Linked DNA regions of Rattus norvegicus. The protein of the gene in region 1 interacts with the protein of each later gene in a pairwise test. Links are inferred from orthologs where the notes say so. Each region holds a gene or a part of one and is shown on either strand. Other genes may lie near its edges.

Region 1 (4,300 bases):
ATACCTACAACATTTCTAGATTTATATCATAGCAAAAATCCTTTGTAGTGTTCAGTTGTTCAGTATATAGTTGACGGTCCTTATAACCACTAGAGGGCTCTGCTATAAGATCTTTTATAATTTATGTCTGTCTACTCAGGGAAAGGCTTTGAGATGTTTCAGAATTTTGAACTCTTAAGTTTAAACAACCTCCTCATTTCACAGACGAGGGAACCGCAGCTGGCAACGGATATAGGAGAGAAGTGGGAGCACTCTTAGACTGGTTTCTCTCGAACTCATGATCCTCCTGCTTCTGTCTCCCAATCTAGGATTACAAGCCTATACCACTACATTCAGCTCGTATTAGTCTTATGATGGAATACTGAACTGATTGATTAGGTGAATACATGAAACATACTCCTAAAATAATACCTTCATTATTTCACAATGTTATTTTCAAAAGTATTCCTCAGCATCTACATTCCGTTATTTGTTTTAAACTCTACTAACCACTTTCAAATAGCCTCTCAACGTTGTTGCTCAATTAAAACATTTTACTCGGTCATCTTTTCTCCACTCAATTATATTCACTCACTGCTTATTGACATCTACGAGCGCCAAAAACCTTTGTAGGTCTAAAGTTCTTTCGGCCTTCTATTTCTCCAACTGTCACTATAAATTATACAGACTTTCACATGCTTAATTCAGCCATTCTCACAGCGTGGTCGCTGAAAAACAGGCAGCAGGGAGTTTGCTCGCAATGCAAATTCTTAGCCCCATCCAGACTCTAGGGATAGGTCCTAGTAATCTAACCAGCTCTCCAGGGATTCCGAGGTGCGTTCAAGTTTGAAAAACATGTTAGTTCTACAGCTCAGCATTGACTATCTAAACAGGTCAAAGATTTAACTTCTGGCTTTTAAACTCATCACAGGCCTGTCCCCGGCAACACCTGTATCAATTACAACCCGTGGGACGCAACCATTACACAACCTTAAAAATCTGTAATACCTGAGATGACCGAATAATAGTTGCGTTATCATGGTTCCAGAACAAAAGCTACGGCAGTGGATATCCCGGGGGTTTACCAACGGACGCTGGGCAGGACCCAGTTCCTGCATAGTTTTTTCCTCCGCTAGACACAGGGAGGCACCTCTAGCCCGTGGGTTCTGGGTCTGGCCGAGTTAGAGCGAGGCTCAGCCCGGCTGGGGCCCCGGGAACCCGCCAGGCGGGGCTCCCACCTCGGGTCCGTGGCTAGGGACTGGAGGCCTCACCGTAAAGGGGGCCGAGGGGCAGGGGAGGACCCCGCAGGCCCAAACCCCGCGGACCGGCACAGAAACCGCACCCTCCTGGCCCCAGCCGCCGGCAGGGCGGAGCCACGCGGCCGAAGCCCCGGCTGAGACGCGCGGCGCGGGCTCGCTGCTGAGACGTATGGGGCTACCACTGGAGCGGCTGCGCCGCCCGCCCGGGTCAGCGTGGTGCGCATGCGCGGACCCGGCGCCATTTTGGTGGCCGGGCGCGGAGGTGATTCTACACTGAGGGGGAACGCGACGGCAAGGGTGGCAGTGGCAGCGTTCGTGTGCTCGGGTCTGAATCACTGAGGGAGGAGGCGGTGGAGGAAGAGGTGGCAGCGGTGGCGGTGGTCGTAGCGGTGGCGGAGGAGGCGGGTACGAATCAGCTGCGGGCAGAGACATGGCCAACATCGCGGTGCAGCGAATCAAGCGGGAGTTCAAGGAGGTGCTGAAGAGCGAGGAGGTCAGGAATGAGCTACCGGACACCCCCATCTCAGCCCAGGGCGGCAGGGCCCTTCCTTCCGCGACCCCGGCGGTCCCAGCCGGCCTCGCTGCGGCCGCCTTTCTGCCTATGGGGAAGCGGCGGTCTCCCCTCCTCCTCCCGCCGCCTTTCCCTCCCCTCCCCGGGCCCTGGGATAGGCGGTCTCGCGGGCGGCCGGCCGGCCTGGGGAGGAACAGGGTTTGGGGGGCAGATGCCGAAGCACTCGTCCCGGGCACGTGAGCTCTAGAGAGAGCCCCGAGGCGGCGGCAACAACATCTGGAAGTGTGACTGTACGGTGGGGAAGGAACAGGCCGAGAAAACCCGGGAAGTGGGTTGGGGGAAGGGGAAAGGTAGTAACTAGATCCCCGGCAGCAGCGCACCTCACAGGCCCACGCTTTCAGGGGTACTGGGGATATTGCCTGCCAGGCCTTTGCTGTCTTTTCCTTGGGGAAGGAGCCTTCACAGTCTTTAGGTATAGACGAGAAGACTTTCAGTTGCTCCCTTACGGTACAGTGCTGGGGGATCTATGGAGACATAATGGGCATTCTTGAATTGGGAAGGGGTGTTGAAACAATTTTCACTATAGATAAAAAAATAATTCCAAATTAGATAGTCATCTCTTTTCTACGTACCCAGCCAGTAAGTAACTAGGCCTCCTCACTGATATTTAAAGCTTTTTGTCTAGTCAAAGGCAAGTTGTTTGTTAATTAAATGATTTGAAATAGGAAGAATAATGGGAGTGTGTGAGTAGCTTATTTCAAAATACTGTTCACCCGTATCAGAGAGGCTCTCCTAGGGTAATGCCTCTGTGACTAGTGTTGTACTGTGAAACTTCATTATGATGTCCCTCATAGTTAACTTGAGTCTTACTTTTAAAAAGAGGCCTATTAAAACCAAGGGATTTCATCAGATACACATTGTTGTAGCTCATTATTGAGTTAGGTTTATTTTTCTGTCACAAAATATATCAGGAAATAGCATATTTAAAAAATAAAACTCTGACTGCCTGTAAGTCCTGCAAATTTTAAGCATATTAATGCTTACCAGATTTATTTATGTGAAATATTGAAAGTAATAATTTTACTCTGCTATAAAAGTGCTAAATCGACAAAAATGCCAGTTTTTCTATGATTGAACTTAACAATTCTGAAAGTAATTATTTTTTTCAAGGTTCACAGTTTTCCTATTATGCTTGCTTGGTACTCTGATAATGTCATTAATGATTTTTAAAATTCGTCATTTTAAGCATATGAGAAATTGTTAGAAATCTTGTAGCTCTCCAGCTTTATTGTGCCCCCAAGCTTGCAGACAATTATCCATCGTTCCAAGTAGACATGAAGAAAGTCACTTAAAATTGAAGTGACAATGTTAGCAGCGTTAGTGAGCATACTAAGAAATACGTAGGGATCTGTCTTACGTAGCATGAACTCTGACCTCTGTATTCATTTGCCAAAACTCTGAATGGAAGGATGACTTTGTATTTTTGTGAAACAATGCAGAAACAATATGAATGACAGTATTCACATTTTTAATGGTGATTTATTTAAACTTTTTCTTTAATAAGCAAACTTAGTTTGGGGTCGTTGTATATTCTTATGTTGTTAACAACCTACAACATGTATTCTATAATAAGGTTGTATGGGTCTTTAGACCTCTCATGCTTTCTTTTATCTAAAAGTGTCAAGTTACTGCCCTGAAAATTGATATACCCTCTTTGCTTTGTGTGGTCTGACTTTTCACCATGGCATTTGGTGTTTAAGTTGAAGATTATCGGCATTTGTATGACTCTAGTAGTACATATTATTACTATTCTACTATTTAACTGATGGGCTGAGTGGCCAGCTCCATTTACTGTTCTACTATTTAATTGATGGCTGAGGAGCCTGATGACCGAGTTCAGATTCAGACCCACATGCTAGAAGGTTTCTCTTTGACCTCTACACCCAAGTGTGCAAATCGGATAAAAGCTCCTCCTCTGGTTAAAAACATTGTCAATGGTTCTCAGGAAGGAAATAGGAAATATGAGTTCAAGAATGGTGCCTTAAAAACCTAGCAGGGAATTCAGTTCAAGGAAGTAAGTTGCAAAGAATATTTTGGAAAAGATCAGATAAAATTTAATATTGTAAAAAACCACAGCCAACAGTTAGCTTTATCCTCACCAGTATTTTATTTCATTTCCCTAGATAGGTTGTGTTGATTTCACCTGAGTGAAGAACCCATAGTGCAGTCTACATATTTCCCTTTTAAGTGCGTAAATATGAGCTTTTTTTTTTTTTTTTTCGGAGCTGGGGACCGAACCCAGGGCCTTGCGCTCGCTAGGCAAGCGCTCTACCGCTGAGCTAAATCCCCAACCCTAAATATGAGCTTTTGAGTAGTTGGTCAAGTCATTAATTCACCGTGTCATACAGGTTTAATTCATTTGGTAGTGTTTTGGTGGGTCTTACAACTTGATTTCCTTTTTGCCTGTTTTAAGTGCCTTTGTAAAGATAACTGACCTGTCAGAGCACACTTTGATCCCAGCACGGGAGAAGCAGAGGCAGGCAGATCTCTG
Region 2 (3,954 bases), on another chromosome or scaffold:
ACAATCCCAGTGAAAGGAATGAGGTAATAGCCCAAGGGGAAGCTATTGTCTGGGACCAGAAGCACCCGAGCCCTGAGGAAAAAAAGACAGTCTCAAGCCAGGCAAACTAAGGTTACTGGCTTGGGACAAGGCATAAATGAGAAAATCAAAACAGATGAGGAAGACCCTGAACCTGAGTGGATAGGGCAGTGAAGTTGGGTTCCAGACTGGCATGGAACCCAAAAGAAGACGGAAGAAAGCATATGTCCTACCCCTTCTCGTAGACAAAAAGAGCTCGTAAGTACTCTGCACTTCTCTCTCCGATAAATACAGATGGGATCCAGATCTGTTGTTGGATTTCCTCTGTAGGGAGCAGGAGATTAGGGATTTAACCTTCCATTCCTCAATCCCCTGAAACTGGCTTTAGGCACATTTTGCAGGTCTCAACCAACTGCCCTGTAGGTCTTTAGCCCTCCCACTGAACTATATGGAGAGACCCAGCAGTACAGACTTCTTCATCCTCACCACTATTCCACACCATGTTTAGAAGTTCATTGGAATTCACGTTGTGTACCACAGCTGCACCATACCCAGCTTTCTGAGCATTTAGGACCTAAAAAGACAAAGCAGGACAGAGTTGCAAACCTTGCCTTTCTTCATTCCTGGTGTCATTTTACCCTGCTTACTACCACCCGTTCCCCATTCAGCAACCTTGAGGTCAAAGTTGCAGTCGAATCTTCGAAGCAGTGCAATAAAGACTGACCCATTGACTGGGGCTGAGGGTGGTGGGGCAATAGGACTGCAGGCATTTTCTGGGTGGGCCTCCACAAGGAACCCCTGAGGGATAAAGGCAAACAGATTTTTCCATCTTTTAGTATTCTGTCTTCCACAGGACCTACTAAACATAACAGTACACATACTACCTGTATTCGGCAACTCTACCATTACTCATTCTTGTGGTCCCACCCAAATCAGAATCTACAACTCAGGTAGACATGGTGATACATGCATTTAATCCCAGCACGTGGGAGTGCAATGAGTTGGGAGGCCAGCCTGACCTGCACGGTCGGTGAGTTAGGGACAGCCAGAGTTAGAGTCCAGTCTCAAAAAAACAGAAAAGATCTCTTAGCTTCCTGAAGATGCAATTACAGTAAACAACATCCCTTTACCCAGAGGCTCCCTTGACTTCTCAAGGCTAGTTTAGTTCTGCTTTTAAGTTTCCCAGGGACAGTGATTCAGCTTGCTACTTATTTGACTTTCACAGCATATTCAATTGCTTCGTTTTCCAATTAGCCATCTTACAACTCTACTGCTGTGGCAGTAGTTATGTGGCAAGAACTTCGTAATGAACTCTACAGACATGCTTATCTCACTAGTTAGCACAATAGCCCTAAACTAATTTCTATTACTTGTTTTCCAATAAAAGACTGTCCACAGCCATCCATGCAGATAGTAAGTAGCTCCAGAGACATGGCTGATAAGCACCTGTTCCTTATCTTAACCTGTTCTCAGACTTCCTCTTAAATTTGGAAATTCTAGGGGCTGGAGATGGCTCAGTGGTTAATAGCACTGGCTGTTCTTCTAAAGGACTTGAGTTCAGTTCCTAGCACCCATGTGGCATGGCAGCTCACAACTGAGTGTAACTCCCAGTTTCAGGGGATCTGACACCCTCACACCTAAGTACATAAAGTAAAAAAATACCTGGGAGTTCTAGGGGTGGACATTGTCTTTTATCTCTAGATTCTGGACTCTGGGCTGGACACGATCATGCACATGTTTTTTCGGGGGAGGGGAGGGTTGCTGGAGATTCAACCTAGAATCTCACTCATACTAGGAAAAGCACCCTATCACTGAACTGTATCCCACAGTCCAATGTATTCCACTGCTATCTCAACCATTTCCTACCTCCTGAGCACGGATACTTAACCCCTGCCCAGGATACACGTAGGGAAATGAGGAAAGCATCACCTGGAGTCCCTCATCGCTCAGAGTGGCCCCAAATAGAGCTGGAAGGTCTGCAAAGTCCATGCTGGCATTGTGCTCCGAAGTCTGCAGATAAAACAGTACATTTTCCAGTCTGAAACCCATTCTCAACACCCTTTCCCCATCCGACCCTCAGACTCACCGCTCGAATAAGCCCTCGGATAGGGGCTGCTCCCCACAGCACAGTAGCCACAACAACAGGGAGCGGGAAGGCCGCAGGGTGCATGGCAGCAGGAGGGGTAAAGCTGGGAAGGTCGCGTCCTGATAGCAGGAGCAGAAGCCAAGTCCTGCGCCTTCTCTGCCTCTCCTTCAGGATCCCAGGGGTCCAACCACCCCTAGGTCCCACTTCTCAGCTACATGGGGGCGTCGGGGAAGGAACTCCGATTCGGGAAGTGAGCTATCAAACCAGCTTAGTGGAGGTGGAAAGGGAGACAATGTATCTTTCTCTGGTACAGAAGTAGAACAGAATAGGAACGAAGGCAAACAGGTAACAAAAAATAACTTCTGGGTGGGAGAAATCTCAAGGAGGTGGGACTTCCGGCCAGGTAGGCCTTCTTCCTATGCCCCTGGAAAAGGATTTCCGGTAAGAAAGGCCGCTTCCAGTATTGGACGCTCAGGACGGAGGACTTCCGGTCCAAAAAGGCCGGTTGAAAGAAATGTTCGACACGTAGAGCGTGCCTGCGGAGATGAAGGGAGCTCCGGTGCTCAGCAAACGATCTAATTTTTTTCCCTTAGTCCCTGAGATCTTGGAGCTACCTGTTTACAAACCTCTCCTTCTTCTGGCCGCCGCGATACGTTCAAGTATCGCGAGAATGCTCACCAGCCTCTTACCCCCTCCTTCGCCGCTGGAAATTACCGCGAGAGGCCTCATAGCTCGAACTCGACTGACTCACTTGCTCTCGCGATATTTTCAAACAAACTATTTTTCCCGCGATTCCAATTCTGGGGGGCGGGAGCTACAGGGTAGCTTCCTAAATCGGCCACGCCCCTTCGCCTTGCATCTTAGCCCCGCCTTATTCCCGGCTGCCTTTGCGCTACGAGCCTGCGCCCGCCCTAGCTTCCAGCTGGAGCCAGATTTGCCTGTCGGAGGGGCGTGCGCGCGCGCGCCCTCCCCCTGTTGCGCGCTGGTGTCACCTTGGGCGCGAGCGGGGCTGTGCGTGCACGGGACCCAAAGCCGAGGGCCATCAAGGGACGATGGCGGCGACGGCGAGTCCCGGGGCTGGCCGGATGGACGGGAAACCCCGTACCTCCCCTAAGTCTGTCAAGTTCCTGTTTGGGGGCCTGGCTGGGTAAGCTCAGGCCCCAGGATTGGGGAAAAAGGAGGAAGGGATGGGAGCAAGCAACTGGGCCCAGTGCAACTTGGGAGTATGTTGCAGTAAATTGAGCCGGTGCGGGGTCCCTGATGGGTTGCTAAGATCTATTCACCCATTGCAGGGGCCCAACTGGGCTGTATTCAAGGGTCATTGCCCCGTGTTTCCACCACCATTGCTTCACTGTGCCTGTTTGGGTTGTGGGTCGAGGCCACTAAAGGCTTTATCATAGGACACCTTTTCCACCCTTCCTTAGACTTCCTGTAGTCCTAATTCTGCTTGAACCTTAAAGAACTGCCCGAAGTATTTTGATTTGCGTGGTCTTTACTGGGCAACTGGACTTTTTCTGGCACATTTCCCTTGATGCACACACTTAAACACATTCCCACCAGCCTCCTGAATCCTTAGTTGCATGTCAGTCCCTGACCTTTGTAACTTCTTGCTGCCAGGTTACAGTAGAGCTGGAACAGCTGACCTCTGATTTCTTCCCTGTCTTACTTAAGGATGGGCGCTACCGTTTTTGTGCAGCCCCTGGACCTGGTGAAGAACCGGATGCAGTTGAGTGGTGAAGGCGCCAAGACTCGAGAGTACAAAACCAGTTTCCATGCCCTCACTAGCATCCTGAAGGCAGAAGGGCTGAGGGGCATTTACACTGGGTACTGTGGCCTCAAGTTGGGGAGGG

What was found. The genes of interacting proteins can lie anywhere in the genome.
Region 2: the proteins of Ube2k (region 1) and Rnf167 interact in binary tests that used the Homo sapiens proteins (3 or more experiments, as listed by UniProt). The link is inferred for Rattus norvegicus from reciprocal best matches to the Homo sapiens genes UBE2K and RNF167.

The regions. Positions count from the first base shown.
Region 1 is NC_086032.1:43,069,371-43,073,670, reverse strand, and holds the start of Ube2k (ubiquitin-conjugating enzyme E2 K), read left to right. Parts: upstream 1-1,500; 5' UTR 1,501-1,668; coding exon 1,669-1,731; intron 1,732-4,300. UniProt on the Homo sapiens protein: Accepts ubiquitin from the E1 complex and catalyzes its covalent attachment to other proteins. In vitro, in the presence or in the absence of BRCA1-BARD1 E3 ubiquitin-protein ligase complex, catalyzes the synthesis of 'Lys-48'-linked polyubiquitin chains.
Region 2 is NC_086028.1:55,858,100-55,862,053, reverse strand, and holds the start of Rnf167 (E3 ubiquitin-protein ligase RNF167 precursor), read right to left. Parts: upstream 2,801-3,954; 5' UTR 2,189-2,800; coding exon 2,105-2,188; intron 2,029-2,104; coding exon 1,948-2,028; intron 1,925-1,947; exon of another isoform or gene 1,038-1,924; intron 817-1,037; coding exon 691-816; intron 593-690; coding exon 505-592; intron 343-504; coding exon 252-342; intron 73-251; coding exon 1-72. Other genes in the region: Slc25a11 (mitochondrial 2-oxoglutarate/malate carrier protein), read left to right, coding at 3,157-3,251, 3,776-3,928.